Astyanax mexicanus: one gene and its partners. The protein of the gene in region 1 purifies or fractionates together with the protein of each later gene. This does not show direct contact. Links are inferred from orthologs where the notes say so. Each region holds a gene or a part of one and is shown in the gene's direction. Other genes may lie near its edges.

Region 1 (7,617 bases):
AAACCTGGCTGTCATGTTGGGAATGGTTGAGGAAAGTAAACAGGTAGAGAATACCATGATCTGTAGATAGGAGAGCACAGTATGCTGAGCCTATTGCTCACCTGCTGCTCACCTGCCACTCTTCTGCCGCTCTCCTGGCACTTACCTGCCACTCTTCTGCCGCTCTCCTGGCACTTACCTGCCACTCTTCTGCTGCTCTCCTGGCACTCACCAGTTGCTCACCTGCCACTTTTCTGGCACTCATCTGCCATTCTTCTGGCACTCACCTGCTGCTCATCTACTGCTCTTCTGGCACTCATCTTTTGCTCACCTGCCACTCTTCTGCTGCTCTGCTTACACTCACCTGTTGCTCACTTGCCGCTTTTTTGGCACTCACCTGTTGCTCACCTGCCACTCTTCTGGCACTCATCTGCCACTCTTCCACCACTCACTTGCTGCTCATCTACTGCTCTTCTGGCCCTCACCTACTGCTTAACTATTGCTTATCTCATTTGGTGATATCTCTTCTGGTACTCATTTGTTGCTCACATGGCACCCTCCTGCTGCTCACCTGCTGCTCTTCTGGCACTCACCTCCTACTCCTTTCTAACATAACCCGAAAGCCAAGAGTATAAAACGTAATAGAAATTAATATTAAGGACCTGGATAGATCAGTAATTTGGTCATTTGTTCCAGCTGTGAAGTTGCTTGCAATCTTTGTGACCTTTGGGTGGATTCACACTGTCCTGTTGAGTCTTTTCCAGGAGAACTTCGTCATTTATAGTGATGGGTAACAGTGGGGAACGAGTAAGATAATTGTAAAGTGTGTGAAGTGGTGCAGAAGTGGAAACATTGAAGCTAGAGGGTTGTTCACTTACAGTGACAGTAAAGCTGTAACCAGCAGATGGCGTCATTGTGAAAGAAATAAATGGGCACAATTTTTCAATGGTTTATTTTATGGCCCACACTAAATAAAATACAGTACAGTATTGTGTGTATAGGCTTTTGTGTGTATAACATTCTGAAAATGTGACATAATTATGGTTTGCATCACAACATTATTAGACCATTTTTTACATTACGTTCCCAGCTAGACAAATATTAACGGAACGGTAACATCAAAAGTAACATTCACAAAATGATAAACATAAATGGTGACATTACCATGTTTTAAAACGTTAAATGACAATGTTCAAAAGATATTAAAAAACTTAACAGATTGAATATCCAAAGAACTTTAACTGTAACATTGAGAAAACATTCTACTAGCCAAAAATTGGTGCTTCAAAATTCATATATTTAACCTATTGTTAGTGAAATGGTAAAAACAGGAGGAACATAGGAGGGAAGCAGCATTTTTTGTTGTCACTGAGAAAGAAGTGAGGTGAGGGGTGGAGGAAATTATAATTAACAAGGGTTAGAGCTAAACTTGAAGACTGCAGGTTTTTTTTTTTTATCTTTTAGACCTGTGCAATTGGCCCTCCAGCATCAACTGGCTTGGTCATAATGTTTTGGCTCATCAGTGTACATAAATTCCATGAGAGACTGTGTTAGGAAATGTATTTATAATTGTCTGTATGAGGAGTTTAAATTCCTCACATTCCTCCTTTTTTTAGGGTCTTGCTATTCCATGACATCACAGGCTTCCTCTGCTCCCCTCCCTCCAAGCATCTGGTAAAAGATCGGACTAGAAAAGCAGGTTGTCTTCCAGGAAGGAACTTGAACCTCGATCGAGCGTCAGTGTGAGCCGAAGAAAGAGAGAGAGAGAGGTGAAGTTTGTGGAGGGTGAACAGGTCCGGCTGCAGGGAAATGTTCTGTTCTGTTTTTTTTTTTTTTTTTTTTTTTGTAGTTCTTTGTGTAGCGATAGCACTGAAAAACAGAACCAGATGGAACTCATTTGTTGTAGTTGTCCTCTCCAAGACTTTTCTGCTCTGTCTGGCATTCACTCGCTGATGTCTGATATGAGTTTACAGTATGTGTGGTGTGTGTATATGAGACTATACTACTATGGAATTTTATTTTAGCTTTTATTTAACATTTTTTATGGTCTTCATTAGGAATCTTAATGTAGATTCACTGCTAATGAAATAGTTTCAAAAATAGTTGCATTAGAAAAAAAGTGTGGGATTGTAATGCTATTCAGAAGGAAATTAAATGGGCAATATTTATTCAACTACACATACAGAAGTAGTCTATAATGCATGTGTTATGCAACATGTCAAATGTCTCAGCATGTAATAGAGTTTTCCATAGAGGCTCCTAAGGGTGTCAGGGATCGGCAGAACTATGCCCATGGCTCTTGTATCTTTAAGGGAAGCTCTTTAGCAGTATGTGGATGAGGATTGTCCTGTTGGAATAAGTACATAGGAGTGTGTGTTCAGAAAGGTTGGACACCTGTTACAGAAGCTTATTAATGCACCATTGGGCTGTCAAGTGTGTATATTATTTTGTGTGTATAGAATGCCTAGATTTTTTTTTCTCCAAAAGGTCTCAATTTTTTTTTCCACAATTGTTACACATTTTCACTCGGGGACGGATCTGACGATTTGGGTGGCCATGTCACAGTATCTGTGTCTACTGCAGCATTATGTAAATAAGCATTGTCCTTTTGAAATATTGTGTGTACTCAAAAATTTATGTAATTTTGGGCTGTCAAAGTGCCTGTAATCAAAACCAAAGGTGATCTAATACTGTACACAATTGCTAAGGTAAAAGGAAGGCAACATTAGATAACCAACCTGTTTAGATTAGAGGGGTAAAGAAACATCTCCTGTGTGTATAGAAGGTATGTTAAAAGGTACCTAAGATTATTATGAATATTCTTAATTATCCAAAGTCCTGTGCTTTTAAACCTTTTTGCATTAAACTGTCTTACAATGACAATAGTATTGTTTATGGCAATTATCTTTAGGACAATTTATCATTAGAACAAAAACATTCATTGTGACAGGCCTACTGTAAATACTTTGCACTGCTGAAGAGAGAATGAGATGGAAGATGGGTAGAAGGAATTATTTTACAGTATATATATATTTTTTTTCTGCTGGCCTGTCTCTGAATGCTGAAACCCTCTTTTTCCTGCAGGCCAGAGGCCTCCTCTTCAGCCTGGCTTGGCAGGACGCCAGTGTCAATTCTACGCTTCTCAGAAACACATTCTTTGGTGCTTCAGCCTGTTTCTGCTAGATTAAGATACTGAACATGGGAATTAACACGAGACGCCAAACAGCAGAGCAAGTGAGAGAGCCAGGGGAGCGGTACAGTGCTTAAAAAATAACCTCTTTTCCACATTGTTTTACAGCATTTACACCCTTAAATCTAATCCCAGGTAGCAAAGAACATTGAAGAAATTATTGTTGTATTACACCTTTTAATGTTGATATTGAAAAAAAACAACAACACCTATACAACCTTTATTTATAATGGACTCGCCAGTTTCAGTAAATATTACAATTCAGACATTGAATCAATGTTCATATAACAGGATAGGGGATTTGTGGGTGTCTTCTTTATAATAATAATGATGATGCAGTCCCTTTTACTGTTCCAATGCAGAAACAAATATAAGTAATAATGGTAGAATACAAACATCTTTAATGTTCACAAAATGTGAACAAAAATAAATCAGTTTCTAATGAAATTGAAAAATTAAGTTTGATTTAACAATCTTTTGCTAAATGGGCTAAAGCATGTGTGCACACTATGATCAGCCACTGCAAACAAACACACATACTCACACAAACACTATGACTAGTTGACTTAAATGAGTTTTTATGTTACAAGAAATAGTAGAATTTACATTTTAAAAAATGTACATGGATGTGGAACATAATCATCCATCATTTATAATTTATAATTTATGATTTAGAAAAAAATGAAAAAAAAAAAAACACACACACAAAGATTCTGCTTTACATATTTACTGTTTGGCAAACAAGTATTATCATTTGCATCAAAATGTTTAAGACAATTATCACTCTATCTTTCTTTCTGAGTTTAGTTTGTTCCCTTAAATGTGGGTCCACGTGCATCGTACATCACAACCCAGCGACTGCAGGTTGGGGGGAGGGGGGCGTGGTCGGGATCTGACCGACATCATCACTGTGAGCCTGAAGCTCTGGAGCTTGTCGAGTGATGTTTCAGTTTGATTCAGTTTAACGAACCGATTCTATTGTCGGGGTTGGGTTCGGTGAATCGATTCTATCGAATCGTTTTCGTTCCCTTCATTCAGATGGCACACAACATAACAAATGAGCAAAAGACTACGAATCAAAATCAAAGATACAAACAAACAAATGTAAAAATATATTGTATACTTATATTTCATATATATTTTATATATTTTCAGATTTGAGCAGTGAGTGTAAACAACTGCAAAAAAAACAACAAGCACAAAAGCATTGCCACACAGCCACTTAGCTAGCTTAGGGTAATTTATGGATTGTAACCTATGAAACATACAAAAATATTCTCTAAGCTAAGGGTTAACTATTTAGTCAACTTTTACTCTCGAATCGGTTCTTTTATTTAGAACCGCACCAGCCGGTTCAAATGGGCCGATTCGTACACACGACTCGTTCATTGCTTCAGTGTGGGTCTCGCTCTCGCGCTGGTTCGTGTATGTGTGTGTTTGTGTGAGAGTCGCGAGCGCGGAGCCTGCGGGATTCTAGCAGCACTGCACGCGGCGGAGATCAAAGAAACTCCCAATAAAAACTAACTACACTCCTCGGGAAGAGCCGCTCGAGCGCGGAGCAGCCTGAACCGGGAACGTTCGCGGTCGGCGTCCTAAACGCTCAGAAGAGGCGTTGGGTTTTTTTTTTATATTAGCCAGCACGCGCCGCTTCGGCTAGCGAGCGTTGCCTAGCTACGAGTCCCAGAGAGTGAACGCGGGGGACCGCGAAGTCGGCGCGAGAACCACCGGTACCGCGAGTCGCTCCTGGGCTGAGAGGAGACCCTGAAAACAACAGCGGGAGCAGAAGTCCGGGAAAAGCGAGCCGCTAGGCGCGCGGCGGACTGACGTAGCTTCGCTCGAAGGTGAAAACAGCCCGGTCTGTTTGTTTCTGTTGGTCAATTGTTGCTTATTGTTGGTAAATATGAGTGTAAGAAGCTGGCGAGGGACACTGCGAGCTGAGAGAGGCGAAGCGAAAAGCTAACTAGCTAGCCCAGCTAAGCTAATAGCTAATCGTTCATGCTAACGGAGAGAGGAGAGCGGCTATATTAGCCTGTGCTACCTCTGGGTAGCTAGCTAGCTAGCCAGTTAGCTTAGCATACCTATCTAATACTAGCTGTGTTGGCTGGTTAGAAATGTCTTTACTTCAATTTAAATGCACAATATCGTTAAAAGGCAAGCCTGGCCGTTTCAAAACCAAACCCATGTCATAAACGTATATATACTGACTTTGTTTCATAAGCCAAGTTTGCTTAATCTAATTTATCTCTAATGCCAACCATGCTAGCTGAAACACTCACTCCATAATTCCGCTATTAAAAGACATTGTTTAGTAATATTATCAGGTTTACATCTCTAGGTAATATCATTATTCTGACTAGACCTAATGTAATTTTATTATTCATATGTTACGAAGCGTTAAGTAGCTAGCTAAAGCTAGCTAACTAACCTACATTTGATTTAACGTTACACTTAATCTGAATCTTATTTTTGCTTAACCATAATTAACCACATACTTCTGCTTAACTAATAAAAATGTACTTGTAGATATCTACAATTACTTTAGTAAGAGTAGAAATAGTCATTTTAGATGTATCCCCTGTAACGCTGAGCAAAAAACTATTGCTGCACTTTAAACTTTAAAGCCCATAACATGATTGTTTTTATTAGCTTGTTTTGTTTGCAGTGTTTGTAAATAGGTTTCTAGGAACATGAGGCAAAAAAAAACAAACTTTTCCTTAAAAAATGTTACTTTCCTTGTTGTTTTCAAACAAAACCACTTGAACTGCATAGTCTGCCCAGGCCAAGCAGTTCTTTAGGGGTTGAGAGTGAAGGAGAGGTGGCTGTGGTTGACCGAAGATGAATCTCTTTAATTTACACTATCAACACGTTTGTTTTCTTCATATATTTCAGAAAACCTAACAAGTAATCTTCACGCATTAATAATGTTTTATAAAAAAAAAAACATGATTATTCATTATCCACTTTGCTCTGCATATTAAAACAGGTATGTGTTAATCATAGTTTAACGGTTTAAAAACGTAAAGCCGAAAAATAAAAAAATAAAATAAAAGTGTAACGTTAGTAGTGGAATAGTATTAAAACGTTATATATAAAATATGAATTATAAGGTATCTTAAATAACAATATATAAAAGCAGTTCAGTGTGTTTTTAGCTACAAGAAGTCAGTCAAGGACCATCAGATGATGATCTACCTAGTTTAAAGAATATCAAATTAAAACATAACTGTATTAGATAAGATAAGGTTCAAGAAATATCAAGCATTCGAGTGCTTCATTGACGTCAAATAACAATATTAAATATTATATCATAACACATTGTTTAATCTACACCAAAAACGAGCTTCCAATGTGGAGTTGAAGGCTGCATAAACCACCTCACTACACCGGGAAGCATTTGGTTTTGACTTGGGTTAGCTCCGTGGCTAGATAATGCTAAGCTAACGAGCTTGCTGGTGGCTAACGTAGCCAGCTATTGAGCTATTGCTATAGCTAGGTTAGTTAGCTTGCTTGTATAGCTAGCTGGCTAACCAGAGCGCCATTCTGCTTATAGCAGAAAATGTGCTTCTATTAATTTGGGTTGTTCTTTTTAATCGTTCAAAGCCATGTATAAATGTGGTGTGAAACCCATGGATAGTGGGGGGGGGGGGGGGGGAAGGGGGGTTTTCAGCTTCAAGTTCTGGAGAGAAGGTCTGGCTAGCCTGCTAGTTGGCTAACTACCTTTCTATCTTTAGCTAACTGGCTTTAAGTCCTCTGCCTGTTCCCTGCAGCTGGTGAATAACTCTGGTTTTGAATGCTCTGTGCTGTGAAAAAGCCAGCCTGTGCTTTGGCAGAAGTTTAAATAAAAAAAATGTTCAACTGGATACACACAACCTAGCTACATCTGTGACCTGCTAGCAGCTATCTAGCTGGTGATCCAGCCTGGAGCTACGTGATGAGCGTGGAGTGGCCGGCTTGGAGCGAAAGTTATTAACTATTCAAAGTTTGTGTTTGTTGTATTCCTTCAGTTCTGAGCGTTTGCACGTTTTTAAGGTTATTAAAATAGCGTTATAGCTAACTAAGGTGCACCCAGGGTTAGATATTGAAAGTTAACTTCTAAGTAACTTTCAGATCTTTTTTTCTGGGGTGCAGTAGTGTTCATCAGCTGGAGTTAACTACATAGCTTTGCTAAAATAGTGGTCTAGTCAAAGTGGAAGTTCTTTCTTTGTCTCCACTTGAGGATAATATTTTCCTTAATAAAATAAAGTGGTTTATTGTGGTTGTAATGTTCTGTTATCATTTTTGTAATAAAAATAATCAACTCATTTTAGGTGAAAAGAATTTTACTGCATCATTTCCAACACTTAGGAATTGGTTGTCCAGCATCTTTCTGTGAGTGCTGTACCCTGATTGACCTTACATTTTTCTGCCCACATATGCTGTAAGGAATGACTTACTCGTTATGTCATTTG
Region 2 (7,711 bases), on another chromosome or scaffold:
ACATATTCATACTGCTGGCAGGAATATTATATTAATTAATAGGCATTTCATAATGTTTTATCACAGTCATGGCGTTCTCAATTTGTAGTATGTAATCTTGTAATTAATAATGTCCATCTCTTTTTTTTAGGGGCTTCCTGGAAGTAAAGGAGAGAGAGGAGAGAAGGTGAGTTAAAGCTGTTGTGCATGGCACCATTGTATATTAAAAAATAAACATTTGATTGTGTTTTGTGAGATTGTTTTATTGTACTTTGTTTTACAGGGAGAGCCACAGTCTCTTGCCATCATTTACCAGCTCGTCACACAGGCCTGTGAGAAGCTAGTGCACAGTATGTGATGACCTCACACTGTCTTTTCTTCACATTTTTTGTGTCTTTATGTCAGAGGTTACAAAGTTAATATGATCCATATAGCATTTATAGTGATGCTTAGATCAGAACTCTTACAGTTCATGCTAGTTCTTACAGTGTTCGTATGTTATGTCACTGTGCTTTAGATGAAGTGCTAAAGATAGACGCCTTCCTAAATGAGATCAGTCGGAACCCCGTGCCCATCCAGGAGCCAGTCGGGCCTCCAGGTGAGCCTGGAATCCCAGGAGGGAAAGGACCCCCTGGGCCCAGAGGCCCACCGGGACGGCAGGGAGACCGAGGAGAATCAGGAAAACCAGGATACCCTGGCGAGCAGGGTGAGACATTATATAACTTTATAAAGATGATTATTCAACATTAAAATAAGTGATAAATCAAAATGTGCAGAATTTGTCTCTTTACACAACACATTAGAGATGAGGCTGCAAAGATAATGCATGTAATGTTAGTAAACTAGTTTTTATAGACACTATTTGACCACTAGTTTAATAGTATATGTACAACGTGCTTAAATTGGGCTGGACAATAATGCAGAATCAAAATATATCCCTATAAAAGATGTTTCAGTAATGATGATTTGATTTTAATACACATTTTTTGTTAGCTGGCAGCTACATGCTAGTGTTTCCGAGCCTAACTGAGAGTAGAGAAAACTATGAATATAATACACATATACACTATTTAACATGTGCAGTAACATTTACCGTATTTTTTGGACTATAAGGTGCACCTAAAATCCTTTACTTTCCCCAAAGATCATCAGTGCACCTTATACTCTGGTGCGCCTTATGTATGAATTTTACTGCTCAGGTTGTAAGGAGCTGGAAAGCCACTTCGCTTAGTTTTTCAGCAACGTTAGCATTAGCTCCTTACCGTGCTAGCTCATTGGCCATTCAGAGGTGAGTATTATTGGCCTGTAGCCTGCTGGCATCCCTAACTAGCACTGCCAGAGCAGCATTAGCATTAGCCGCTAACCACAGCACTAGCTCCTTCGTTGTTCAGAGGTGAGTATATTGAACTGAAGCCTGGAAGTTTACTGTGTTAAAAAAGCGAGTTGTGCGTATATTAGTAATATCGCCCTGCCTTACCGGATCACTCAGGGTTCCTTATTCTAGCTCTGTCCGGTGGCATTAGCGGCTAACCGCTAGTGGTTAGCGAGTAATCCAGCTGGGAAAAACACTTAGCATCGCATATTTCTATCATCAATACTTTTTACAGTCTATGTTAGAAACACTTTTCTTCCCCAGATTCCTAATTCTGCTTTAAATCCTCAGGAAGAAGAGGTGCATCTGGAGCTAAAGGAGCTCCAGGGATTAACGTTCAAGGTCCACAAGGATCAAAGGGTTTTGCAGGTATCTAATGTGAATATAGATCTATAAATGTTTTGGTTTTATGATCTATTTAAAGACATTAGTTAATACAGTTCGGGTATTGACTCCTTCATACTTTGTTTGCCCCTTAACAACCACTGTTTGATTCTGTTTGTGTGTAATACAAAAGGACCCCCTGGAGAAGCAAAGGTAGGGATGCAAGGGCCTAGAGGTGACGATGGTAATCAAGGTGCTCCTGGTCTTCCTGGGCTGGTGGGTCAGCCAGGTGAGATGGGGCCCCCTGGAGCGTGTGACAGTAGTGGCTGCCATCGAGGAGACCCTCTAGCAGGTACATAAAAAGGCTTCCTATACATCATCACATGTCCTACTGTGAATAATGCGTTTTCTCATTACATCTTTAATGACTTTACAGAGGATCCATACTTCGGATACCAGCCTTGATTGGAATAACATTGAGAGAACTGTTTTGCCGATCAGTTAAACACTGAGTCCTGAATCCTGAGTGCTTGCTCTCTCCCAGAAGAAGTAAAAGGGGCACTACTGGGTGGAATAGAGGAAAAATGGGCTGGCATGCAAAGGACATGTTTTAAAATCCCGCTCACTGTGTGACACAGCTGATGTAAACGACATCAGACTTCCAGCTTATCTTCATCTTTTAATTCTCCAGGAACTCTGGTTGCCCTTCATTATGTGTCAGTAATTTTTTTCACTTCTTTTATTTTTGTTTTATGTCTAATTATACTGTCCAGTTCCATGAATCACTAGAGTCTTAAGCAGGACTCATTTTGTGATGTATTAATTTCGATATTACAATAAAGAAGGGTCCCTCGTCATTTCATTTACATTTAAAGGGGAATATAGCCATTTTTGTTGTGAAAAGAGCATCTGTTTACTAAATAATGACAATTTCGCACTGAGAATGTTTTTAAAGCAATTTTATCAATGCTGTGGTTTATTGTGTTGTATTTATATATATATTTTTTAATATGTTGAAGGCATACTACCACTTCTTTGGTTTCCCTGATTTACTGCCTCCAAAACTGACATTTACTGTATAAAAATGTGATGAAAGAAAATACACTGTGATCATATTGTAATGTCTTGCTGTCCTTCATAAGCATAATGCCTGTTCTGTTTGAATCTGCACATTGAATTCTTGTGTTACAATTAACACTTTATTACATTTACTGTATTTAAATGTCTAAAACTGAATTACTGACTGTTGTGTTTTTTATATGTCTAAGCTTTTATAAACCACATTTGTTTGTGTGTGCATGTGTTTGTGTGTGAGATAAAGAGAGAGGGAGAGCACAGGTAATTAGTTATGTACCTATAAAAAAAAACAAATTATATTTAAAAGAAATTAATAAAATGTTTTTTTTTTCATATCACATTTGCCTGTGTCAACACATTTTCCTGATATAAATATGTAACAGAAATGTATATAGACCTGTTCTGTTCTGTATATGAAAGTGAATACATGAGAATAGAGTAAATGTTATCAGAGATATTAAAATAGACGCTGTTAAGAACTATTTAAAATAATTAATTTATTTTAGACCAGAGCTGCCCGAGCGTGGCCTGATACCCAACCCAAACTCAGGTCGACATATCCCACCGCTTTCCTTGGATCCTGTCGGGTGGGGCTAAAGAAAACTGTCTGTGACGTAGGCCTACTTTTATTAATGTTATATATTATTTTATATAAAGCTATGGCTTTATAATCACAATATAGCAAAGTTACAAATCAAACTCTGATCGTAAAAAAAGGTAGACAGGTGTGAGGTCCCCAAATTTGTCGGCAATAGACTTCATTTGGAGCTCCATTCTTAACATATAGTTTTTTTTACAATAGGCCTACTGTTTTTCCGTGTTGCACTGTTAATTAACATCACTCTGAATAGATTTCACTCATTAAGACAACTCAGAATCATAGGTAAAAAGATTTAGCACTGTACATACAAAAAAAATATGCAGTCAAGCTTTACCAATAATTGGCAATGAGTCTTTCACATATCTGTAAAGAAATTGTGGCTCGCTCTTCTTTCCAGAATTGTTTTCCTTCAGCCACTGAAGGAATATTTACCCAAGTCCTGAGGATATTCAAGATGTTTTTTTTGGCAAGTGTGAGATCGGCCCCTGTGTTCTTTTTGGTCAGCAGTGTTTTTTGCCTTGGAACTCCCATGGAGACCATTTTTGTCCAGTCTTTTTCCTATTATTGAATCATTAACACTGACCTTAACTAAGGCCAGTGAGACCTGCAGTTCTTTAAATGTTGTTCTGTGTTCTTTTGTGACCTCCTGGATGAGTCGTCCATGTCCTTTTGGAGTAATTTCAGTTGGCCGGACGGCCACTCCTAGGAGGGTTCGACATTGGACCATGTTTTATCCATTAGTGAACAATAGCTCTCACTGTGGTCTGTATTAGATTTTTTTCAGATTGAGATCTTTTATCCAGCTTCATTTTGTCAGACAGTAATGAGGCCTGGGTGTGGTTAGTGAAACTGAACTCAGCTTTCCACAATGTGTGAATAATCACAGTTAATTTATGGGGGGGGGGGGGGGGGGCAAACAATTTTTCACAAAGAGCTGGATTGTTTTGGATAACTTTTCCTTAATAAATAAAATTAGAATTTAGAAAATACTTTTTTATATTTACTGAGGTTATATTTGTTGGATATTAAAGTTAGTTTGATAATGTTAAAAATGCAGTATGACAAAAGAAAGAGAATCTGTAAATCTGTAAAAACTCCACTGTAGAATAGTACTATTTCTCTTGCATCATTCATAAACTTCCCTATTCTGTTGAGTGGGTTTAGATGGCCGGTTCAAAAAGAACAGTAATATTAATTTCCTATAACTTCCAAAATCACATTAAGCAGATAACTACACAGGCTTGTCTGATTCAGAAATTGTTTAGTAGTCTGTTCTCAGCTACAGCTGTCCCGGAACTCAGCCCTGGACTGAGTGTAGGAACTAAAAGCGGGAGCGCGGGTTTCACCGGGCAGCTGTCCGCGCGCACATCCGCCGTGTAGTTCTGCCCAACATGGCAGGATCTAAGAGTAAGAAGAAGAACAGAGAGGAGGCTGATAAATACTCCGTCCTGTTACCGACCTACAACGAGCGGGAGAACCTGCCCCTGATCGTTTGGCTGCTGGTGAAGTACTTTGGGGAAAGGTGAGTGTTAATAGGAGGTGGAAACAGAGCTAATGCTAATGCTAGCCGGCTCAGAGCTGCCAGATAAAGATGAGCTGTCACTGAAGTGCTGTTTACACTCCTCAGCTAAAACACAGCTAATAAAACTCTATATCCATTATTATTTCGACTTCTGCATACTTCACACTTTGAGATTTAACATAAAAACATAGTCATTGAGAGTATACAATTATTATTAGATGAATTGTGGAGAAACCTGAGATAAATTTACAATGGGGTGTTGTGAGAATAAGGTCTTTAAATACATATTAGTTAGTATTTGCATCTCAAATAATTTGAATATTATTGGAAAGTTGTTGATGATTATGGCTTACAACCAATGAAAACCCAAAAATCCGAGTCTCAAAATCAGAAAAATTAGATCATATAAGACCTATTGGTACTTTTGGCAGTGTGGGCAATGTGCCAAGTTCTGCTGGAAAATGAAATCTGCATCTCCATTAAAGTTGTCAGCAGAGGAAAGCATGAAACCATTTTCTGGGAAAACACTGCACTGACTTTGGACTTGATATAACACAGTGGACCAACACCAGCAGATGACATGGCTGTCTAAACCATCACTGATCATCAGTACATTTTGTATTTCATTTGTAAGTCAAGGGACCAATGTCTGAAACAAGAGTGGAGAGACACACAGTCCAAGCTTCTTGAGGTCTAGTTTAAAGTTTCAGTTAATCAGTGACGGTTTGGAGAGCCTATATGTGCTCACATTTAAACACACAAACTTTAAACACAATTGTGACATTGTCCAGCTGTAGTGTAGGATTATAATGTATGATTGTAGTTATAAATATAATGTAATCTAATCTAGTCCATTCCCCTAGTTTCCTATTTATAGCCTAAAACTAAAGCCCTTCACTCTCATTTTAATTTTGTACAGTGGATACAACTACGAGATTATAGTCATCGATGATGGAAGCCCTGATGGGACACTCCAGATCGCAGAGCAGTTACAGAAAATTTACGGAGAAGATAAGATTGTAAGTTGAAGTTTATATCTGGGTTGTGTGGTGGGCTTATGTCATTAATACTTGTAGCAGAAATTAACAATACAATACCCTTTCTTTTGATTTACTGTCACTGGTCATTTTTATAAGTCAGTCTGTGACATATATAGTTATATGCATCTGTTCAAATATTGTACACTATTGCACATATACATGGTTTTTAAATAATCCTCACTGCTGTAGAGTATGAGCTTTTTAAAAATGAAAATGTAATATTACTTATACTGTCCTGAGAATCTAATCAAAGTGTGTGTTTCTTTCTTGAAGGTCCTGAGACCAAGAGAAAAGAAATTGGGTTTAGGTGAGCCAAAATACATTTTTCTTTTTCTTATTGGTGTGACATGCATTTAGATTAATTTGTTAAATTCTGTTAAATTTCTGTAGCAAGTGAAAAGTGGGTTTGAGGTCTGGAGAGAAAACTAAATTGTGTTTTTTCTTTCAATTATGTTTTTCAGGAACAGCATACATCCATGGCATTAAGCATGCCACTGGGAACTTCATTATTATTATGGATGCAGATCTTTCTCATCATGTAACTAAATAATTGCTGCTATTTTCTTATTGTTCTTTATTATCTGATATCTTTTTTAATTGTTTTAGGCAGTGCATAAGTTAACTATTTCTTCTTTACCTGCAGCCCAAGTTTATCCCAGAATTTATCAAGTAAGTAAAAACTACTGTAACGTTATGCATGTTTAAATACAGAGATCTATTACTGAACTAGTTTGACCTGTATTCCAATTGTTTTTTTGTGTGTTTCTGTATTTCTGTGCTGACCACTGGAATTTTTTTGTTGTTGTGTAGGAAACAGAAAGAAGGAGGATATGATCTAGTGTCTGGAACACGGTACAGAGGAGATGGCGGTGTGTATGGATGGGACCTGCGGCGAAAGCTCATTAGGTAACTAATTAATAACCTGTGTCCTACACCACTCTGTTTTGTGCCCTCCCTTAAATATTTGTTAAACCATGTTGCCTATTAACCATATTGAAGCTGAGTAGCCAAAACATGTTTGAAATGTTTCAAAAATGATTAATTATTTTAAAAAGCTTTAATGACAGACCCTTATTTAGACACTGAAGCTAAAACTAGAACTTCACTATCTTCAATCAGAAAACTTGGTACTGTTATGCTTTAAAACACTTTAAAATAACTATTGGGTGCATTTAAACTTGGGCTTGGCTTGGCCTCTTCCAGATATAATCCTGATACTCACTTTTAAGCAAAGATTAGATGGGTTACCGTCTCTGTTAGGAACATTAGTTTAGTTCTTTCTGTTATAAGCTAATAATAAAAACATGGCTTTGAATTATTTGCTTCCTCATAGGTTAAAACTGAGTAAGACTAGCCTGAGTAAGACTAGCCTTTTAAAAGTTTTAAAAATATCATTATATGGTCTCATTTTCTTCCATGCTCTTACATCTCTCTAGCCGTGGGGCAAATTTCGTCACACAGGTGCTGTTGAGGCCTGGAGCATCAGATCTGACAGGAAGTTTTAGGTATGTGGTACAACATGGTATTATCATAATTACTGATCTCTGTGTAAACAGCAGGATGTACTGTTGCTTACAACGATTGTTTTATTTTCTCAGGCTTTATAAGAAGGATGTGCTGGAGCGTCTGGTAGAGCGCTGTGTGTCTAAGGGCTATGTGTTCCAGATGGAGATGATTGTTCGTGCTAGACAACTAGGCTACTCCATTGGGGAGGTCAGTCCACCTGTACTTTACATTACATGGTTATTTTATATCTTGCTTTCATATTGAACTGAACTATACTGTTATCAATTTAC
Region 3 (7,384 bases), on another chromosome or scaffold:
CCTCAATCCAGCACCTCCAGTGGATGTGTTAAATTACATTATTATCAGCAGCAGCTCACCTGAGTTACCTGAGTTAACAAACCTGCTACTTACAAGATAAGAACTAAAATTAATATTAATTAAAAAAATAATAATATTAATAAAAAGTGCAGTTATCGCAAAAAACATCAATAACATTAAAATGATGAAACTGGCACTCATCAGGACCGCAGCAGAAAAGGAAGAGCAAGAGTTTCCACTGTTGCAGAGGATAAGTTCACCAGAGTTACCAGCCTCCCCTTGTGAAAAGAATTATACTTAAACTATGCTAAAATAGGTCTGTACTTAACCCTTGTGTGATGTTCATATATTTGCAAAATTAAGCAATTTTACATTAAAATGCTTTACACATGCTCGCTTCACCTAAATTGCAAGCAATATAAACAGCTTACATGGTTAATATTTGCCCTTCACCTTTCTTATGTTACATTTCTTTCAAAAAAGTGCTACTCTTTTTTTTATTAGTTTTTTAATAAAATGTAAAAGAAAATGAATTAAACTCAAGATATGAGTAGAAACTTTGTTTAGTTTCAAATTTACAAATGAAGCAATGTTTATTAGCCCTTGGCCAAACAGACTGTATGTAATGTAAATGTGTATGTTATATATAATGATATTTAATACAATTTAAGTATATTTGTGTGAAAAAGTTAATTAAAGTATACATTTAACATCACATTTGAAAAACAAAAGCAACATATCTCATTGCAAGAATTAGCTGATAAAGTTATTTTAATTACACACAACTAAAGCGAACTTTTTTTTTAAGCCTAGTTTTAAGACATAAAAGTTTAATCAGCACAGTTTTCATTTGTATGAGCAACAAAAAATATATGTTTTGCTAACAAATTTCTCTGAAGTATAGTTTTATTGCAGAAATAAAGGCTCCTATGGCACATTTAGTAAAAGTAGTATTATTATAAGAAGCAGTTTTCTAAAATAATACTAAGGTTTTTTTTTTTTTTTTGTATTAAGTACATCACCAGTACGAAATTAGCACAGCCAAATAAAGTATACTGAAATATACTTTATATATATATATATATACTTTAATTATCTGCATATAGTTCAAGTACACTATGATTATATTTAAATATACAGCTTTTTCACAAGGGTCCTAGATAAGGTCAAAGCTTATTTTAGTTACTACATGATTCTTTATGTGTTCCTTCATAGTCTGCATCACTTCACTATTCAGTTACTATGTAGGACTGAAATTTAAGTAAAATTCCAGGTCTCAGGAGGATATTAGTGTTTTACTGAGTGATTAACATCAATGAATGTTAATTTAAGGTTGAATGTTGAAATTATACGTCAGGATAATGTCTAATACTGTTTGTAACGTGCCTGAAGGATACATTTGAAACATTTTAAGTGCAGTCACCGCAAAGACCGTCCAAAAACGTTATGATGGAACTGGCACTCATCAGGACCGCCCCAGGAAAGGAAGAGTAAGAGTTCCCTCTGTTGCAGAGGATAAGTTATTATAGACTGGGGCAGGTCTGGTAGGTGTCAGGCCTCTAGTTATCCTGATCACTGTTTCAGCTCTTCAGTTTATAGAGAGTCTGAAGAGACGAAGAGAATAAAAGAACTGAAAGTATATAAAAGTAAAGTTTCTCTTGGATTCTTCACGCTCTACAGTTATACACCCTCTCTCCCGGCTCAGGGTTCAGGAAGACGGCCTGGCTCGCTCTTTACAAAACGATTTCTGAAAGCGGAGGGAAGGGGGATTAGCATCACAATCATGGGAACAGCATGGAGCACAGCGGAGGCAGAAAAACCATTTATTTCTTTATTTTTAAAGAGCGGCGGCTTTGAAGTGCAGAGCTCTGTTTATTTTGGGTGAATGAGAGCAAAGACCAGCCTGCATGCAGCACCAATTCACATAAAACTCTATAAAACTCAATAAAAATCAGAATAAAACTCTGATTTTCTGCTTTAACACAAGCTTTGTTCTGCAAATGTAAGACCATGTGACCCACCATCACTTATACATACAAATATACATACACGGTTTATGTTTTTAAAAGTTTTTTACGTTTTTTTTTTCATTCATTAAGGCTTTTCAAATAAAATAAACCTTAATAAGGCACTTTTTCACATATTGTAAATAGTTTGATTTCTACTAAAATTAAATTCCAGTCCTTCCAACAAAAATATACAAAAAATAAACAATATATCAACCATTTTATTCATTAAGTAAAATCAGTTATTTTCTTAACTGTTATAATTTATATTTCTTCATTTATGAAGACTTTTAAAATAAAACAAATTAAGGCAATTTTTTTCACATATTGTAAAGAGGTTGATTTCTATTAAAATTCAGTCTTATCAACAAAAATATCCAGAAAAATAGACAATATATCAGCTATTTCCCTTTGTTGAGTTTTTATTGTTAAAACATATATCTTTTTTAAATAAAATAAAGCACTAACTATGTTCTTTAAAATTATGTATATATATTTTTTTTTATTTAAAAATCTGTTTTTATTTATTTGTTTGTTTTTTTGCTTTAGATTTTTTGTAACATTTGAAGCACAAACTGCACCAGAAAATCAACATACTTTAATTAAAAGTAGGTTATTATATCATTAGAGTTAAAGCCACAAAATTATATTTTTCTCCCTTGATAATTTAGGGTTTTTAGAAGTATACAGGTATATGAATATTTACCCTTTTTTTATTTAAATATTTGATTTTTGGTAACATTTGAAGCACAAACTGCACCAGAAAATCACCACACTTTCATTATATCAGTGTAAAATACTATTTTTCTGTTATTCTGTTATTATTTAATGTTATTCTAGAGATTTTTTTAAGAGAGTTGAAGCAACAGGTAACAGGATAACAAAATACACTCCTGTTACATGGCTGGGTTTTGTTTAATCGCTATTTTAGTTTAAAATAAGTAAAGTAAAGTAAGTAAAATAGAATATTTAGATAATTAAACTGGATAAGTTTAATTTTAGCTGCAGTTATAAGAAATTATAAACAACAGCCTGTGGAGTCTTTAAACGCTCCAGTTTAGCCCCGCCCCCTTCTAACTCAGCGGTCACGTGAGAGTCAAAATCCATGAACTGAATCATTCGTTTGAACCGATTCACGAGTGTAAGGGAATGTTGATGTGTTTTATATATATATATATATATATATATAGAAAGACAAAAAAAGAAACTTATGACCCTTAACTCTCACAAAAATAAATAATGCATAAATTATTTAAATAATCAGCATGATTTAAAAAAAGGTGTTTTTAATAAAAGTATCCATAAAAAAACTAAAAAAAAACGGAACAATGAACATTGGAAAAAGTAAAAATCATTAAAAACAAAAAACAGATCAGGAGTCAGGAGGGACTTTTATATATATATTGTTAAGAAAAAATAAAAATAATGTATAAAATAATATTTAATAGTATTAAAAAAGTTCCCTTAGTTTAATAAAATGAGATCAACTGATTTATTAAAATTTAATTGAATCTAAAATGTTCTCCGTTGATTTAATAAATAACTTCCTCAATTCAATACATTATCTCCTTACTTTTACGGTATATAAAGCATTTATAAGTCAATTTAATAGTCCATTACCTTTATTTAACAGCTATTTGATTTTAGCCAACAATTTAATTTTAAACGTTTCATTTGTATTTGTGTGTTTAACCTTTTATATTTTATATATTCTTTTTTACACATTGTTTTTCATTTTAATCTTTAAGGTTTTTTATTTGAGATATATTTTATTTTATTGTTTTGTTATTTATAATATGCTTTAATATGCTTAAAATTGTATGAAAGTAATATTCCATGATGAAAAACGAACAATTTAATTTTTATTCTCTCTCTCTCTCTGAATCTACATCTCTGAGAAGTACATACAAAAAGCTTTTATTACTACTAAGTAGATAAAAAAGAGAATCCTATGTATAACAGAGTGTTACCAATAAACGCACATCACTGTAGTAAATCTGAGTATAAAATAATTTTACCTGATTTTTTTATCTGATTACTGAACATTATATCTCAAAAAACAGTGAAACTAATAGAACACGAATATTCCCCTAGAAGAGCAGTTACTGCAAATAAAAGTAAAAATACTTTTTCATCCCTCTATCCAATCGCTTATTTTTAATTGTATGGTGATAAAATGAAAAATTTTAATTTATTAGGCAGAAAGTTTTAAGTGGCAGCTGGAATAATATATTTTATTTGTTTTGGACGTTTGGTAGATTTGTAAATCCAAGCCGAATCGATTCTTTGAACCGGATCTTTTTGTGAAGAGTCGACTCCTGAAGTGACTCGGAGTTCCTGAAGTCCTGCCCAGAAAGTTGGGAGTAAAGTTTGGGAGAGCAGTGATTTAGTCTCACACTGAACCGAGTCCTGATGTCCGGAGCCGAGAGGAAGAGAGACTCCGGGCTTTTTACCACTTTCAGCCTGAATATTTACTATTTTAACGCTTTAATACAGTTTAATTCGCTGTTTTTATACTTTTAAAACTTTTTTAAACTGGATTTTAACGCAGTAACTGCTGGATAGAGAGATATGCGCGTGCCCGCGTCGCTCGGCGCGTCCTCGCGAGTCCGCAGCAGCAGCAGCAGCGAGTCCGAGTCTGCGGTTCTGAGTTCGGTTCTGTTTCAGTGTTTTTCTGGCTTTATCTCAGCAGAACTCGGGTAAACCCGGGCGGACCGGATCCGGAGGACCTTTATCTCGGTGTTTCCGCGCGTTTCTGGAGTTTACGGGCTGAATTTCCCCGAGTTTTTACACTTTTAGTAAACTTTTCCAGGCCTGCTCCCCCTCCCCTCCACTCCTCCACTCCCGCTGCTGGAGCTTTTTACAGCTGGTCCTAATCTTCTGGCAGTTATGGATCCGGGCCAGCACAACCCTCCCGCCGGGCACCAGATCGTGCACGTCCGCGGGGACTCGGAGACCGACCTGGAGGCGCTGTTTAACGCCGTGATGAACCCGAAGAACGCCGCCGTGCCCCCGTCCGTCCCCATGCGCATGAGGAAACTCCCAGACTCCTTCTTCAAACCTCCAGAGCCCAAATCCCACTCCAGACAGGTAAAAACACACTAAAACTAACTAGAAAACACTAAAAACTGCTTAAAAACACACTTATACACTGCTTAAACTGTTAAAATCGCACTCCAGACAGGTAAAGACACACTTAAACTAACTAGAAAACACTAAAAACTGCTTAAAAACACACTTACACACTGCTTAAACTGCTAAAATCCCACTTCAGACAGCTAAAACACACTACAACTAACTTTAAAACTGCCTAAACTGTTAAAATCCCACTCCAGACAGCTAAAAACATACTAAAACTAACCATAAAACTGCTTAAACTGTTCAAATCCCACTCCCGACAGGTAAAAACACACTAAAACTAACTATAAAACACTTAAAACCGTTTAAAAACACACGTATACACTGCTTAAACTGTTACAAAATTCCACTCAAGACAGGTAAAACACACTAAAACTAACTTTAAAACTGCTTAAACTGTTACAATCCCACTCCAGACAGGTAAAACACACTAAAACTAACTTTAAAACTGCTTAAACTGTTAAAATCCCAAGTGAAATAAAACAATTAAAACTGTTTAAAAACATACTTAAACACTTCTTAAACTGTTACAATCCTACTTCAGACAGGTTAAAACAGCCTGAAACTAACTATAAAACGCTTAAAACAGCTTAAAGCACACTTGTACACGGTTTAAAACTCTGCTAAACTGTTGGAAAATAACTATAAAACAGCCTAAAAACACTGTTTAAAATAGTTTACCACAGTTTCAACTGTTAAAATCCTACTCCAGACGGGTAAAAACTGCCTGAAACTAACTATAAAACACTTAAAACCACTTAGAAACACACTTTTACACTGCTTAAACTGCTAAAATCCCACTCCAGACTGGTAAAAACAATCTAATACTAAGTACAAAACACTTAAAAGAGATTAAAAACACTTTAAAATACTTTACCACAGTTTAGACTGTTAAGTCCACTCCAGGCAGGTAAAAACAGCATAAAACTAACTATAAACAGCTTAAAAACACTGTTTAAAATGTTTCACCACAGTTTAAACTGTTACAAACCCACTCCAGACTCCAATATAAACAGCCTAAAACTAAATATAAACTCATAAAACAGCTTAAAAACACAATTATACACTGTTTAAACTGTTAAAATCCTACTCCAGATAGATAAAAACATGCTTGAAGCATTATAAACACTTTATTTTAAGTTTGGAGTTTACAGCTACAGACAGTCTTTCTTTTTCTTATATAAGCTAAATGTGTTTTATACACACTCGGACTAAACCCATGCATATATTAATTGAGAGAGTGATATAATTTGGTTGTTTTAGTGTTTTTAAATGAGAACTGAATGAAGGAGGGAGGTGTAGAATAGCAGTATTAGATTTAGTGTTGTGTTGAGGAGTTTGGGAGTGTTTTCTGCGCATGCTCACCCCTCCTCCTCCTACTGGGCTGAGATTTATCCAGTTCAGCCTCCTCCTCCTCCTCCTCCTCCTCTTCTCAGCAGATCAGATCACTGCAGGAAACCCTGCGCCTCCATATCTCCACTCACTTCCTCTACAGATACACTAACAGAGCTCCAGTTCAGACTTACAGCAGAAAAACAGCTGATCTGATCTCGTAAGTCATATATATAAATTCAGCTCTGGAATAAAATGAAGAGATCACTTCAGTTTCTGAATCAGTTTCTCTGATTTTGCTATTTATAGGTTTATATTTGAGTAAAATGAACATTGTTGTTTTATTCTATAAACTACAGACAACATTTCTCCCAAATTCCAAATAAAAATATTCTCATTTAGAGCATTTATTTACAGAAAATGAGAAATGTCTGAAATAATAATAAAAAGATGCAGAGCTTTCAGACCTCAAATAATGCAAAGAAAACAAGTTCATATTCATAAAGTTTTAAGAGTTCAGAAATTAATATTTGGTGGAATAACCCTGGTTGGTTTTTAATCACAGTTTTTTTCATGCATCTTGGCATCATGTTCTCTCTCCTCCACCAGTCTTACACACTGCTTTTGGATAACTTTATGCTGCTTTACTCCTGGTGTAAAAATTCAAGCAGTTCAGTTTGGTGGTTTGATGGCTTGTGATCATCCATCTTCCTCTTGATTATATTCCAAAGAAACTCCTAATTTTTAAGTGTCCTCTTATTTATTTATTTATTTTGTCCCCGAGCTGTATATACTTGGGCTGTGTATTAACAAGAGCTTGGCGATACAATAAAAATCACAATATAGGGACTATGATTTAATATATTACAGCATATTGTGATACTGTAAGCGATTGCAAGTGTTTTAAA
Region 4 (7,537 bases), on another chromosome or scaffold:
TCTGTTTTTTTTTATCACTGGTATCAAATAATAATAAATAAAGCTCAGATATACCTGTTGTGAGGAAATCTCTTTCTTTACTAAAAAATAGGGAAATATACAGAGACTTAAGCTGAAATAATTGAACATTTGGCAGAAAACCTAAATGTATATATTTAAGACCATTAGTAAATAATCAGCATTAATGAATAAATTAGATGTGAGCATAGTAATAATGAATAAATTAGTTAATAACCTGTTTGTTGCTTTTACAAAAAAAATAACCTGTTGTAATTTGACTGTAATTAAAAACAAAATTGTTTGGTATAGTTTATTAGGCCTTTTAATATATTTGACTAAATATTAGTGGTTGACAAATATTCTGTTGATTCCCACAAACATATAGCGTTACATCTTATTATTTTGTATCTTATTATTTTTGCAAACCATTTAGTTTCATTGTAGGCACATTTAATCAAACAGTATACAACATAGCTTCAGGAACTGATGTATACATTCCATTAATCTGAAACAGAACCTGCTAACCACTTTGTTTTTCTGCAGGTCCTCCACTGTCATGTCCTCCAGGAATGTAAGCTTCAATGGGGTAGCGAGACACACGATCAGGAAGGGCGTTACATTCTATGCAAATGATTCTGTGGTCAACCCTGTAGCTGCTGGCCCACCTGACCAGCCCAGACCTCTTCTGCTTCTTCTGCCATGGTTGGGCTCCAAGCCACATGCCCTGGCCAAGTACTGCGAGATCTACCTCAAAACCGGATTCGATGTCCTAGCTGTGGAGACAGAGGTGGGACGGTTCCTGTGGCCTCGCTGGGGGCTGGAGTACGGGGGCCAGCTCCTGGAGCTCCTGGAGAGTGAACGTTTCGCACAGCGCCCCCTGCTGGTTCACGCCTTTTCAATCGGAGGATACACTTTTGCCCAGATTCTTATTCATATTGCCAGAGATCCCCAGAGATATCAGGGCTTGACCAGCAGGATCAAAGGACAGATTTATGACAGTCTGGTTGTGGGTTCATTGGAGCGGATGGCTATTGGTAAGAAAAAAAAAATCTATTGCACCTTTGTCTTCTGTGCTCTGTAAACTGTGCTACAATCTTAGATCCCCTCATACATTTTCTTTTTCCTTTTCTCTGCTCATTGTCCACTTTTTCTGTGAGTGCTCCTTAGCTAGGGAAGCTATAGTTTGCTGTATGTTGTGGACATTAACAGTCTAGGATGCCCCTAGACAAATTTGGAAGAAGAAATGGCTACATAAAGTGTCTGTAAAGTACAGCAATCTCCAGCCATCTGGTGATTGATACATATTTCAATATATGAGTTACAATATTTTGCAATGCTCTAAACAAGATGATATATAGCTCTGAAAAAACGTAAGAGACCACTTCAGTTTCTGAATCAGTTTATCTGATTTTCTATTTATAGGTATATGTTTGAATAAAATAAACATTGTTTGTTTTATAAAAATATATTGTAATTTAGAGCACTTATTGGTAGAAAATGAGAAATGGCTGAGATGCGGCGCTTTCAGACCTCAAATAATGCAAAAAAAACAAGTTCATATTCATTACGTTTAAAATCAATATTTGGTGGAATAACCCTGATTTTTACTCTCAGTTTGTATGCATCTTGGCATGTTCTTCTTCACCAGTCTTACACACTGCTTTTGGATAACTTTATGCCACTCATGGTGCAAAAATACAAGCAGGTCAGCTTGGTTTGATGGCTTGTGATCACTTATCTTTCTCTTGATTATATTCCAGAGGTTTTCAGTTTGGTAAAATCAAAGAAACTCATACATTTTAAGTCTCTTATTTTTTTTCCAGAGCTGTATATCTTTTTTGTTTTTATCAAAGTGTAAACAGTGATGACAGCTCTGATTGAGCAGCCTGAATTTAACGCATCTTTAATTTAATCTCCGTGTATTCCTCTGTCTTCCTTGCATTCCAGGTGTGAGTCGGAACTTGTTTCCCCGCTGGGGGCCTGTGGTAAAGCATGTCAGCCTGCTTTATTTCTACATGTTCAAACGCCAGACTGTGGACTACTTCAACATGGGCATTGACGCATTCAAGAAAACTCCTGTTCCAGCTCCTGCACTTTTCTTCTACTGTAACAATGATGCACTGTGTGATCCTGAAGCTTTGGAGGAAATGTTGGAACAGTGGGATAAACTGGGTATTTCTGTTACTAGCAAAAAGTGGGTAGAGTCGATCCATGCAGGGCATCTGCGTGCCCATCCTCAGGAGTACATGTCCATCCTGAAAAACTTCCTCTACTCTCTCAACATGGTGCCACTCAAGGCTAAACTGTAAAACATACATACAGTTACCTTATATTCAAGGTGTTTGATGTTTAGAATTTTGTTGAAAACACAATAAGAATTAATTTTAATATTATTGATAAAGTTGTGTGCCTTGACACTTGTTGCCTAACATAATTAATCAATATGAGGCATATGAAACTGTTTGTCAGTTAAAGAGAGGTTGATTATAAAATATAAAAAACCCTGGTGTAACAGTATGCTCAACCGTTATAATACCTCTGTATAGTGTTGTTCCATGTACTGTATTCCACTGATGTAAAAAGTACATTTAGACTTTTATAGTATGTTTTTTATGGTTTATATGTTTTGACATTACTAATGCACATGTATAAGTCTCCTTTTAGGGTTAAATGGTCACTTACAATAAAGAAGAAACACTAAGACATTAATGTACTTAAAAAAAGCTAAAATAATGTGGTACATTTCTTTTTAATTGAATTTATAAGAACTGTATGAAGACCAATTAGTGGTTAAATGTATTGTAAATTAAAATAAATATTTACCATCTCATTAAATGAATTACATAAACTGTGGTGAGCAACAATATAAGTGTACATTAATAATTTACTGCATATAAATATATGCAATGCCTCCAAACAGGAAAAATGAATAATCAAGATTGGCATTTTTTTATTATTATATTAATTGGATGCCATTATGAAATTCAGTTTTCATAATGATGACGGATTTGTGTGGGTGTAAGTGTGTTTGTTAAGAGAGAGAAGTTCACTGTATGCAATATGATCTTAATCCGTCCTCTTGTAGATTATAAACTGGAATAGCCTGTTCCTAATATTAGGTGTCTGCAGAAACAGGGTTGCCAGGACCAGGAAAAATATTCAACCAAAAGAGAGGTGAAAATCAGTACAACCGTGTCTAATAATTAGTGTAAAATGTGAATTTGTTAATTAATTAATTATTTTCCATAATTGAAAGCACATTAAAGGCTCGGGATATTAAATACTTACACTGCAGTTCTAGAAATAGAACTACTCTAGAGTTTGTATTTTGAATGGCAGAAGCAGAAATGGAGGGAATGGCTAATTAATCAATTAATAGAAAGATTAATTGCCAAATTAGTCCACCTAACCACATAAATGATCATTAGTTATAGCGTAAGTTTTCACAATTTCACAAAACTGTTGATTCATTATGACCCCAGTTATCTTATTTTAAATTAGTCACTTAATTACTTGTTCTTTTTAACCCTGTTAACTTTACAGATTACTTTACTCAATATACTTTAGACAATTTGGATTCATGACTGGGTGCCTTCCTGCCTCAGAATCTAAACTTCCAGCATTCTAATGACTCTTAATATATGTACATTTCAGAGTGAAATAGACAATATTTACCAAGTTTTAAAGGAAAGATGCAGCAGATCCATCCCTGATTGTGGAAACTCTACACTAGACCTCAAGCAGCTTGGACTGTGTGTCTCTCCACTCTTCCTCCAGACTCTGGGTCCTTGATTTCCAAATGAAATGTAAAATTTACTGATGATCAGTGATGGTTTGGAGAGACATGTCATCTGCTGATGTTGGTCCACTGTGTCATATTAAGTCCAAAGTCTGTGCCATATTTTCCTGAAAAATCTTACAGCACTTCATGCTTCCCTCTGCTGACAACTTTTATGGTGATGCGGATTTCATTGTTTTTAGCAGGACTTGGCACATTGCCCACTCTGCCAAAAGTATCACTTGGTCTTATATAATATTCTAAGTTTAGGAGACGCTGATTTTTGAGTTATCATTGGCTGTAAGCCAATTGCCAGTGGTCAGCAATTAAGTTTGGCTGTGGGCCAGATATTTTCCAAGCCATTATGTGGCGGGCCACAAAAAAAATTGAAAATGAAGTGTAATGGGATGGAGTGCTACAGACCAGTTGCTCTCCAGCCCAGAGGGTTGTTGAACCTAATTGCAGAACAGTTGAATCCAAAGCAGGTAAACCCAAGAAGAAAAAATAAATAAATAAACGCAGAAGCATTTGATATATTTTTTATTATCATTCATTATAATTGAAACAACCTCACATAACAACCTCAAAATAAATCAACGCTTAAAATACGTTGCGTAGTACATCTATATAATAGATAAGGTTCACATTTTGAGCTGAAATAAAGTATTTTTTCAATTATATTTTCTTTTTTGAGATGTATTAGTATGAGCTCTGTAGACCTCCAGGCGTGTGGGGGCGCTGTTCCTCAGCAGCTCCACATTAAGATGTGGAGGTATCCGGTGTGGTTGGAGAGAAGCATGTCAGCCCTGTAAGAAAACGTGTGTTTACAGGTTTCAGGGCTGGAGAACTGAGCGGAGCTGCTTATTATAATAATAAGTGTAGTACAGCGAGGCGCTGGCCGGGTCTGGCCGCTTCAGCGGGCTTAACTGCGGGGAGCGGAGGAGTATATTATACAGAGTTTAGAGCTGCTGCTGCTGCTCTATGTGCTTTAGTAGCTCTATAGAGTAAATCTGATCAGAATGGCTTCACTCACTTTATTCGTGTCTAATTTACCCGCTTCAGCCAGCAGTGCTGGTCTGGAGGAGCTGTTCTCTGAGGTCGGGCCGGTGAAGCGCTGCTTCGTGGTTAAAGATAAAGGTAAGTTTATGAGCTGACGAGGAAAAGAGTCCTGATTTTCTAATGTGTTGTTTAGAGTATTGTGGTGATCTCAGTGAAATAGGGGCCCTCATCAAATATAACATTTATATTCTAGTGGATTCTGTGTTAATATAAAGAGACCCTGAGGTGACATCATGTAAAAATATAGGGAAAAAATAATAATACGTGGCTACGACATATTAACGAGTGGGAACGAAATAAAAGTCGTTGGAACAAAATCCAGGTTGTGGGAACGAGATCCTAATGTTTGGCTACGAGTTATTGGGGCGTGGGAACCAGATCCTAATGTATGTCGACTATTTATTAAGGCGTGAGATCGAGATCCTTATGCATGTCCACGATTTATTAGGCCATTAGATTGAGATCCTAATATGTGGCCATGAGTTATTAAAGCATGGGAACCAGCTTCTAATGCGTATCCACGATTTATTAAGGCGTGAGATCGAGATCCTAATGCATGTCCACGATTTATTAAGCCATTAGATCGAGATCCTAATATGTGGCCATGAATTATTAAAGCATGGGAACCAGCTTCCAAGTTGTGGGAACGAGATCCTAATGTTTGGCTATGAGTTATTGGGGCGTGGGCACCAGATCCTAATGTAAGTCGACTATTTATTAAGGCGTGAGATCGAGATCCTTATGCGTGTCCACGATTTATTAAGCCATTAGATCGAGATCCTGATATGTGGCCATGAATTATTAAAGCATGGGAACCAGCTTCCAAGTTGTGGGAACGAGATCCTAATGTTTGGCTATGAGTTATTGGGGCGTGGGCACCAGATCCTAATGTAAGTCGACTATTTATTAAGGCGTGAGATCGAGATCCTTATGCGTGTCCACGATTTATTAAGCCATTAGATCGAGATCCTGATATGTGGCCATGAACTATTAAAGCATGGGAACCAGCTCCTAATGTGTATCCACGATTTATTAAGGTCTGGGAATAAGATCCTCATGTGTGGCCACAACTTATTAAAGTGTGCGAATGATATCATTAAGTCGTGGTGGAAATAAGTTACTAAAGAGCCCCTAAACCATAAATTTTTCATTAACAGCTGTAATGTGTTTTTTTTTAAAGTACTGAAACATACCAGTCCTGCTTAAAAAAATTATAAACTTTTCTTAACCCTTAAAAAACACTTATTTTGGTAATTTAAAATAAGATAATTAAGGACTGGCCATAAAAGAAGTCCTGCACACTGTTTTCATTTGGATTTATTGGTTTAGCTGTTGTGCAATCATGAAAAAGATTACACTGGTCAACCAGCATGACCATGATGACCAAGTTTCTTGGCTGGTATGACCATGTGAAGATATGAAGATGCAGTAAAAGTATCTTTAGTGTACCAAAATGAGACTAACAAACACACACACAGCTGTCCCCTGTTCCCTGATAGAATGTGGTTTATTTAATTTGTGTTTAACCTGCTCTATTTGTGTTTAACCTGTTCAGGATCAGAGAAATGTCGTGGATTCGGCTATGTTACATACTCCATGGCAGAGGACGCCCAACGAGCTCAGAATGAAATGAAACAGTATGACGGACGCAAAATAACCGTCGTTCCGGCAAAGAAAAAGATTCTTAAGCAAAAACAAGGAAGCAAGAAAGGTATGCATTTTTGTGTATGAAAGTGTATTCTATTTTAGTTTCAGTGTTTATCTAAAGGCTGTTTTCTTATCTTTATTGTTTCTTTTAAAATATTTTTACAGCCCCACAAGAAACAGAAGGTTCCAAAGAGGCAGCAGAAACTGAACACTCTGAAGAGACATCAGAAACCAAATGTTCTGAAGAGGCATCAGAAAAAAAAAGTCCTCAGAAGTCTAAAGGGACCAGAAACAATTCGAAGAAAGCCAGGCTTATCATCAGAAATCTTAGTTTTAAAGTGAGTAATATTATATCAAGTATATAACAATTTATAACAATGTATTGTTAATGTCCAGACAGTCTTCTTTCATATGCTAGCCCTGCATTCACACTGGCAGGAGCTTACACTGTGTGTGGATTTGTACCGGTGTGGTCGCTTAGCACGGAGGCTAATCAAGCAAGCTACCTATTGAGCCATCAGCTACTTTTATTCAGGCTTCATTTTCCTCCAAATTGTCAACACATTGTTGATTACTTTTTGTTTACAGTCAACTCTGGTCTTTTTAATTGTTGTTACCTTCACATAAATACAGGAAAATACCAGCATTTATTTTTTAAGGGATAGACCCCTCTAGTATAAATATAATAAAATCATAGTTTACACATTGTTGCACTGTTTGATAGTGTTTTCAGTAAATTACAGATATTTTTCGTTAATGTATTTAGTAAGCAATTATTAATATCCTTTGAGAAGTGCGGAATATATTAGTTTTACAAACACATTTTTGAATACCGTATTTTATGGACAGGATTATAAGGCGTGGTAAAAAAAAAAATAAGATAAGATATAAGATATATAAAAAATATATATATAAGCCACTTAGGTGACTTAAGCAGCTTGTACCAAATAAAAAAATATCATGTTTGTCCTTCATTAAAATAGTTATTCATTAATTGGAATTGAGACAAAATGCTATATATGTTTTTCCCAGCACTAGTCCGGTAGGAATAGT

Evidence for each region.
Region 2: the proteins of fbxw7 (region 1) and dpm1 purify together in Homo sapiens (affinity purification with mass spectrometry, with the first as the bait; 3 studies listed by BioGRID). This does not show direct contact. The link is inferred for Astyanax mexicanus from reciprocal best matches to the Homo sapiens genes FBXW7 and DPM1.
Region 3: the proteins of fbxw7 (region 1) and yap1 purify together in Homo sapiens (affinity purification with western blotting; 4 studies listed by BioGRID). This does not show direct contact. The link is inferred for Astyanax mexicanus from reciprocal best matches to the Homo sapiens genes FBXW7 and YAP1.
Region 4: the proteins of fbxw7 (region 1) and rbm28 purify together in Homo sapiens (affinity purification with mass spectrometry, with the first as the bait; 3 studies listed by BioGRID). This does not show direct contact. The link is inferred for Astyanax mexicanus from reciprocal best matches to the Homo sapiens genes FBXW7 and RBM28.

What each region holds. Positions count from the first base shown.
Region 1 is NC_064432.1:20,344,226-20,351,842, forward strand, and holds the start of fbxw7 (F-box/WD repeat-containing protein 7), read left to right. Parts: upstream 1-4,598; 5' UTR 4,599-5,010; exon of another isoform or gene 5,011-5,024; intron 5,025-7,617. UniProt on the Homo sapiens protein: Substrate recognition component of a SCF (SKP1-CUL1-F-box protein) E3 ubiquitin-protein ligase complex which mediates the ubiquitination and subsequent proteasomal degradation of target proteins.
Region 2 is NC_064420.1:35,198,677-35,206,387, forward strand, and holds the start of dpm1 (dolichol-phosphate mannosyltransferase subunit 1), read left to right. Parts: upstream 1-4,696; 5' UTR 4,697-4,744; coding exon 4,745-4,875; intron 4,876-5,794; coding exon 5,795-5,894; intron 5,895-6,188; coding exon 6,189-6,222; intron 6,223-6,376; coding exon 6,377-6,453; intron 6,454-6,558; coding exon 6,559-6,584; intron 6,585-6,725; coding exon 6,726-6,821; intron 6,822-7,351; coding exon 7,352-7,420; intron 7,421-7,513; coding exon 7,514-7,628; intron 7,629-7,711. Other genes in the region: collagen alpha-1(XX) chain, read left to right, coding at 131-166, 263-329, 497-685, 1,643-1,720, 1,869-2,027, 2,112-2,140. UniProt on the Homo sapiens protein: Transfers mannose from GDP-mannose to dolichol monophosphate to form dolichol phosphate mannose (Dol-P-Man) which is the mannosyl donor in pathways leading to N-glycosylation, glycosyl phosphatidylinositol membrane anchoring, and O-mannosylation of proteins; catalytic subunit of the dolichol-phosphate mannose (DPM) synthase complex.
Region 3 is NC_064416.1:3,554,707-3,562,090, reverse strand, and holds the start of yap1 (transcriptional coactivator YAP1), read left to right. Parts: upstream 1-4,371; 5' UTR 4,372-4,895; coding exon 4,896-5,096; intron 5,097-7,384. UniProt on the Homo sapiens protein: Transcriptional regulator with dual roles as a coactivator and corepressor. Critical downstream regulatory target in the Hippo signaling pathway, crucial for organ size control and tumor suppression by restricting proliferation and promoting apoptosis.
Region 4 is NC_064416.1:15,735,369-15,742,905, forward strand, and holds the start of rbm28 (RNA-binding protein 28), read left to right. Parts: upstream 1-4,535; 5' UTR 4,536-4,797; coding exon 4,798-4,915; intron 4,916-6,392; coding exon 6,393-6,548; intron 6,549-6,649; coding exon 6,650-6,822; intron 6,823-7,537. Other genes in the region: si:dkey-5i3.5 (transmembrane protein 53), read left to right, coding at 544-1,034, 1,948-2,309. UniProt on the Homo sapiens protein: Nucleolar component of the spliceosomal ribonucleoprotein complexes.